2 linked regions of the Oryzias latipes genome follow. The protein of the gene in region 2 purifies or fractionates together with the protein of the main gene of each other region. This does not show direct contact. Links are inferred from orthologs where the notes say so. Each region holds a gene or a part of one and is shown on either strand. Other genes may lie near its edges.

What was found. Proteins that work in one complex are often made in the same cells at the same time.
Region 1: the proteins of CCR4-NOT transcription complex subunit 6 (region 2) and cnot1 purify together in Homo sapiens (affinity purification with mass spectrometry; 5 studies listed by BioGRID and IntAct, with this or other methods). This does not show direct contact. The link is inferred for Oryzias latipes from reciprocal best matches to the Homo sapiens genes CNOT6 and CNOT1.

Annotation. Positions count from the first base shown.
Region 1 is NC_019864.2:25,892,733-25,896,232, forward strand, and holds part of cnot1 (CCR4-NOT transcription complex subunit 1), read right to left. Parts: intron 2,875-3,500; coding exon 2,767-2,874; intron 2,452-2,766; coding exon 2,353-2,451; intron 1,537-2,352; coding exon 1,468-1,536; intron 1,307-1,467; coding exon 1,252-1,306; intron 946-1,251; coding exon 742-945; intron 661-741; coding exon 492-660; intron 246-491; coding exon 119-245; intron 1-118.
Region 2 is NC_019868.2:16,541,072-16,545,165, forward strand, and holds the start of CCR4-NOT transcription complex subunit 6, read left to right. Parts: upstream 1-1,294; 5' UTR 1,295-1,539; intron 1,540-2,497; 5' UTR 2,498-2,507; coding exon 2,508-2,619; intron 2,620-4,094. Other genes in the region: simc1 (SUMO-interacting motif-containing protein 1), read left to right, coding at 593-804. UniProt on the Homo sapiens protein: Poly(A) nuclease with 3'-5' RNase activity.

The DNA of each region.
Region 1 (3,500 bases), on a different chromosome or scaffold from region 2:
ATGAGCTGGTATAACAAAAACACTGGATTAACTTCCAGAGCATTAAGATTAGCTTTTCTTTTTATGTTAAATCATCAAAGTATGTTGGAGGGCTGCTTGCTCTTTGAGGCTGCCTCACCTGCAGCGAGATGCCATCGGTAAGGCCAGAGTGAGTTCGAGCCATCATCCCCAAGACCCTGGCTACCTGGCTGGCAGTCACCTCTCTCACGCCATACTGGAGGATTATGTTCCTGCATTCATCCAGACTGGAAAGAAACAGATTAAAGCTGATTGTTGTGGCAGAGCTTCTCCTGAGAGGATCCAAACAGACGTCAAATTAAATGACTAATGGATGTTACTAATAGAGAACTGCTTTCAGGGCTCTGCAGCATTTCTCACAGACCATCATTCCAAATAGTTCTACATCTGAAAGGACAGCAGGATGCCACTCACAACCTGGATTGACTGTTTTTGGGGGAATTATGTCAGCTTTATTAGAGTGAGAAACTCACCTAGCACAGAAGCCATAGCCCACTTCCTGAATGAAGTCGGCAAGAGAACTCTCCATGGTGGTCTTGGCCAACTCCCCCGAGTCTGGTAAGATCCTGTCCATAGGAATGTCCCGTTTTTCAGGGTACAAAAGTGGTGCGAGCACCACAGGGCAGCGCTCCTGGGGAAAATCTGAAAAACAGCATCATTTCTGTTTGATTCTACAAAGTGACAGATGCTGAGGTGTCTATGGATTGTACTGGACCTTCGTACCTCGGCAAAGGGTCTTCAGGAAGGCGTCAATCTGCTCCTGCCCTACCCCACTGGCCCCCTTCTGACCGAATAGTAGATGGGAAAGCAGCAGGTGCAACACCTCTATAGGAATATCCTGGAAGCCACCTTCCTGGTTTCCTCCAAGATCTGCGTCGACGTATGAGCGGAGGAGGTCCGGGAGTTTCTGCTTGATGAACTGTGCAGCTATAGCAAAATATCAATTCAAAATTCAAAACTTTCTTTGTTTCATTATCAACACCTGAAATGTTATCCAACACTGAAGCCAATAATCTCATTCTCTACAAACCCAATAGCTATGCCGATTAAAATTCAAACATTTATTAGGTTAATGAATGTTAAAAGAAAAATATTCGAACATAATTGAGGACATAAGAAAATAACTGATGGCAGATTTTCTCTTTTCCCTTTAACTGTCTCTACATTTAAATTGCAAAGATAAATGACACACTTTAAACATCAGAAGGTTTAGGGAAAAGCAAAACCACTTACAGAAACCTCGAAGGTCTGTGTTGCTGGAACTAAGCAAGGCAAGGCCAAAAATCACCTGAAATTAATTAAATCATGTTAGTTTCTACAGGAAACCATCTGGAAAAAGAACATTTTGGTAAAACATAACTTTTTAGTCCAAACAACCTTAAATCAAAAATAATGTCATGACTATAAATAGAGATCAGTAAAATGCAGTTGATGGTTGAACCCACTCACCTCCTGGACCTTGCTGAGCTTGAGAACTTTACTGAGCTGAGCGAAAAGGTGGGCTGATGGTTTTAAACTCTGAAAGACAGATCCAGCACAACATGTCAACACAGCTGGGAAGGAATCCTTAAATGTAAAACCATGTTTTTAGGTGCTAAAAGTAGGGGTGAAACGGTACACTAAAATCTCAATTCGGTTCGGTTCAGAATTTCATACGGCTTGGTTTGATACATTTTCTGTATTATTTCGGTACAAAAAGGCAGAAAAAAAATCACTTACAAAGTGCATTTAATGGTTTTATACAACGATAAATAAAACTGACCTATGTAAGTGATCTGCTGTATAAAATAATACAACTATTAGCTGTCTGGAACCAAAAACTGGATAATTACCACTGGCCTGAAAAGAAAAAAAACATTTTAACTTGCACATTTTTTTCTCTTGTAGACCCAATTTTTACAGTCGGGTGATGCCGTTTTAAGTGCGTTAACAGATTGGATGTTTTACTGTGGCATACGCTATCTTCGTGTAACAATAAATGTCGAAACACAGCATTATCCAATTGTTTTTTCCTTTCATGCAAACACGGTCCAACTATGTGTACCGTTCCACCACTAGCTAAAAGTAAAACAACGTTAAGGTCATCAGTCTTAAAAAATGTGCTCAGTAATTTAAGATAAAAGAAATTCACGTTTTCATTCTTTTTACCACAGACAATGGGCTTTTTTTAAATAAATCTGGTGTTGCAATAGTTCATTTTCTGCAATACTGTTACATAATCTCATCTGATTGTGACAGAGTAGCTGTAAGCGTCCTTAACACAAGCCTAAATGGGCAAAGTTGACCCTTCAGGACAAATGTGTGCGTGCATGGGTGTGCTTTTGCGTTTCTTACCTTCTGGTAATGCAGAGGATTGTCAACGGCGTAACACAGAGTGGAGATAAAGTTGGGCTTTGAAATCAGCGACACACACTCCTGGATCAAAAACTGTGTCTGAACAATCAGAGGACAGTCAGGCAAACGACAGAAAATACATTCAACGTAAAAAAAAGGTCAATTAATTATCAAATCAAACTTTATTTATAAAGCACTTTTCATATAAAAATATAACACAAAGTGCTTTACATTAAAACACAACAAAATATAAAAACAAGCATGACGATTAAAATAAATAAATAAATAAAAATAAATAAATAGGGCCCCCCACTCCTTTCACACCTCCCACCCCCTAACTGATGGGAAAAGACACAGAGATATGGGAGTATTATGGGAACCGAGTAAATGCTCTAAAAAGGTGAAATTGCTTACCTGGTGAAAGTCCTTTCCACTGCTTTTACCATCGCCACTGAAATCCACATGGGAGAAGAGACAGCGTAGTAGATGCCTGTCTGCCTCAGGTCCGTGACGATTTACAATCTACAACCAAACAAAGGTTTTAGAGCAACTGTACCACAGCTGGCAGACTGAGCAACATGTTACAACTAAGACAAGGAGAAAGCACTGAAAATTCCTTTTGCTTTCTTATTTTGCTCAAACAAACATCCAAAACATGATTAGACAGACGGACCAAGCTGACCAAATCTTTAGGTCATTCTTCTGAGAAAAAGGATTATTTCTTGACAAATACATACACACAACAGATCTTTTCTGTTATCTTTTTTTAAATTCCCTGATAATACAATCATCTATCAGGAATGCAGGAACTATCTTTCAATGAAAAATGTAATACTTTTGTTTGTTCTGATCCAAATGGTTCACAGAAGATGCAAAGGCCAATTTTTCTAACTAATTTCTTTAACAATTCAACATGTTTGAAAAAAGGATTTCAAATCCAATTAAAATGTTTACGTTTTTCATTAAGCTTACTAACACAATCAGCTTGTCTCTTGTATACTCCCACAATGCATTGTACTACAATTAAAAACAATTCATCCGTTTTTTTTAAAATAATCTACTGAACAAACATGAGACCAGTAGGAGCAGTTTTAAAAAAAATGGAAAAATAGAATCAATATTTATTATTTATCTAAATCGAAACATCT
Region 2 (4,094 bases):
TTGCCTGTTTTCTTTTTACACTGAGAAATTCCAGAAATCAGGAAGAATTCCCACTGTGTTTTTGTTTCCTGAGTCACATGACAGCTAAAGCAACAGACAGGCAAACAACCATTGATCTTTATTATGGCTGTATATTGCTTTGGGAATGGATGTGGCACAAACATGATGGTGGCAAAGCCAAAACAGGTTCTCTAGAAGTACATTAAAAATAAATGGCTTGATGAAAGAGGAAACAGATTAGTTGTGGAGCTAAACGTCATCCTGAATGAGGAGACAAAAGTCAACCAGGAAGTTGTGTTTTAGACCAATCAATGGGTAGGTCTCTCAAAAAATAGATTTTGTTGACAGTCTTTCTTTTATTTAATATTGATTTTTTAGATACTCATTAAGTTCTAAAAGTTTCTTTTATTTGCCACTATTGAGGAAAGCATATACAGTTTAAATTATAGGGAAACAAGGCAAAATAGAGATGGAAACTCCCAAAACTGTTGTGGAAATATAATTTTATGTATTCGTTTTTTTTACTGGTAAAAAAATTGTATGCACTCGATTGTCCAAGTTTATAGTGTGTGTGTGTGTGTTTTTTTATCAGGCTACCTGTCCAGCTCCTACAGAAAACAAAGCGACAAAGCAGGCCCACCAGTTTACAAGCCGCATGACATGGTATCAAAGGCTGCTGTCCGAGAAGCTGTGGAGGCCTTCCTGTCCAGATCCCAGGCTGATCTGGACCAAGCCTTACCTCTTCATGTGGAGGAGTCTCTAACTTATCTGCAGGATTACCTGCTAGATATCTGTCATAATTAAACTCAAAATGTTCTTGTCTTTTTTTTATGCTGATTTTTTTTTTTTTTAATAAAAATGAACTATATGTTAAAAGAAATAATTTATTAATTTTGTTGTGATTGTACATGTTTTGGAGGCCTTCCTGTCCAGATCCCATGCTGATCTGGGGCTAAAGGCTTTACCTTTTCTGCAGGATCCCCTGCTAGATGTTGAATTCAAAATGCTCCTGTACTTTTTGGTGCAGAATGTGTTCTTTTTTTAAAATCAATTATATATTAAATATGGTTTATTTATTTTGCTATGTTTGTATTATAAAATGTTTTAATGAGTTTAAATATCACTCTTGAATAAATTTTTTATTGTTTGTATCACTGTTGAATACATTTTTTGTTTTGCCCTGAAATACCTTTGTTTATTTTACATGATCTTCCTCCTCCTCCTCCTCTTCCTCCTTACAGATTGGACCATTACATCATTAGCTTGGACTCAGTGATAAACAGCTCATTCCTTTACGTATAGATATTTTCCAAACAACTGGCGGTAAATTTAACCAGAACGTAAAAGTGCGGTGTGGTGACACGGTCCAACACCTGGTTGAACCCTCTGCTCGGTGAACCAATAAGACGCTTCGCTCTTATCGGCACCGAAAAAAAAGTCCTCACAGTCGCCATGATGATATAGCAGCGGAAACGGAGAAGTAGCTAGAAAACAAAAGAGAACACGCAGTTGTCCTCGCGGATTGGTATGCTCTTGCAGGTAAACATGCCATCCTTTCGGTTAGGAGTCAATATAGGTCTATTATTTGGTCACGGCGTCTCCAAGATGTGTAAATCGCCTCCGTCGTGCCACCAAGCTAGAGCTTATTTTTGTGGAAAGGCGCTAAGCTTCAAATAATAGGAACATGTTAGCTTTTAGCTAGTAGGCTAAGCTAAGCTAAAGAGCTCGCCATTTCTTTTAAGCACCGCATGTTTATAGTTTATTTTTGTTTTGATGGTTTTAAATGGTATGTTCAAATTTACATTTAAGTGCAACTGTGAAATTTACCCGAAAAGTTGTTAAATAACGCTAAGTAATGTGTTGTGGCCTCGTGTTTATCATGCGCAATTGTGGTTTGCCATTATGTAAACAAAAAGTGGTAGATAAAGCTACAAAATCTGTTGATATTTTTTTTTCAGGGTTATTTTGGAAAGTTATTGTGGGCTGTAAACGCAATAAACTCCACGAACCCCTTTTCTTTCTCACAGGTGGATAAGGTTGTTGCTTTGTTATGACTAGTTCGATAGCTTAAATTAGGTTAAGCTAGGCTAAAAATCAGTTAGCGACAGCGAGCATAATCGCCAAAACCTCGTTGCATTTTTACTGATATCATACTCTGTTTTCTAATTCTGCTCAGTTTTATCCCTTATACTGGAACATAGTTTTCAGGTTTGTGCAAAAGCGTTGACATGTATTTTTATTGCCTTTATGTAACAGCTGTTAATCAGTGTTTGTGGTTTATGTTTTGCTTCGGAAATGATAGCAGATTGTTCATGATTGGCCAGATGATGAAAACCTTTAGCGTTCTTTGAAGTTCATATAATAAGATGTCACTTCATAAATAAAAACATAATATTTGGGATTTCATCCTCATTTTTGTGTACTTTTAGAAATAGTAACCCTATGAATGTCTCACTTTTTCCATTGATGGGTTTTTAACATGAATTGATTTCTGCAGTGCTATAGGAATGCCCAAGGAAAAATATGACCCGCCGGATCCGAGGCGGATGTACACAATTATGTCCAGCGAGGAGGCAGCAAATGGGAAGAAGTCATACTGGGCTGAGCTGGAAATCAGTGGTGAGTGTCTTTAACCTTTGTAGACACATCTGCTCCTTCTGAGTTTTTGTAGTTTGCATTAAGATGAGAAAACAAAAAGTCATGTTGTATTTGTAAGCATATTCAACAAAATTGGAATATTAAGATGGGTGTATTGTTTGTGTATAGGTGTAATCCTTCATAAATGACAGACCTGATTATTTCTGTTAGTGCAGCAGCATTACACAGTAGTAATTAACGATTACCGGTAGTGAAAAAACAAAACAACCTAAAGCTTTTAGTCATTATCTCCACTCTGTGATTGTTGTAAGTCTTATTCATTGGAGCACACAAGAGCATAAGATGAACTTGTAAACAATTATTAAAAGATAAAAAATTGTGTTCAAATTTGGGGAAACTGTTTTAATCACCTCTAAACCTTTGTGGTCCATTCTTTTGTAGAAGTGTAACAATTATTCGATGAATTGATTTCTATTCTTACGATCCAACCAAATGAATCTGTCTGAGGCAAGTTGTTAATCGAATCAAATCCCATCAACCTCTACGATAATATCGTTTAAGAATGAAAGAAATCAAATCGACATTGGAAAATACCATTTGGATTAAGGTTTATTTTACTATAATGTGAAAAGCACCATCACAGAGGACAACACGCATGTGATGGCAGCAAAAAAAATAAAGTCATCATTTCAGTCCAGTGTGTGGAAACACTTTGAATTTTGCAAAGACGTGACTATTCAATGTGGTGGAATTATCTTAATAACGTTCCCTTGGGATTATTTTGATGTGGAAAAAAAAGAGTGGGCTGAACTTTATGAAACTAAAATGTGAATGATTTGTTATTAAGTCTTGTTTACTTTTTTGTTTGTACACATATTTAATTTACACTTGATTATCTTGCAAGAAATACAAGGAATCTAGAAAACTTCACCTGATCTGTTCAGTACTTTAGTATTTCTTTCTGAGTCACGCTGGTTGAATTGTTGGCTAAAGATATCTTGGACCGATTTTAGGCCAGTGAATCGGATCTTATTGGATTGTTCTAAATGAACCAATATCAGTTTTGAATCATATCTGCAACTACAAATTATGATATGAATTGAATCCTTGTTAAAGTGAATTGTTACACCCCTATTCCTTTGCAATGGATTGCACGGATGCAAAGATGCACTTTCTTCACGATTCGCTTCAAACTTCCTTTTTTGGGCCATGGTTTTATTGCCCTTTGATATATGATTTGTGAATTACAAAACAACAACAAATAGCAAATAACAATGAATAAAAACATTTTTTGGAGGGTTTACTAAGCCTGGTGTGATGGAATTAAACAAGAAATAAAAAAAATTCCTCTTGAATTTAACACCAAAGTGTTTGACACTTTAAACGTAAGCATGCTGGTATGCCGTAGAAATGCAACCATTCATTTTCCACACAATTCGGTCTCGCGGCATCCCAAGTAGATTTTATATTTTCAAAATGAGTTCAGTCAGAAATGT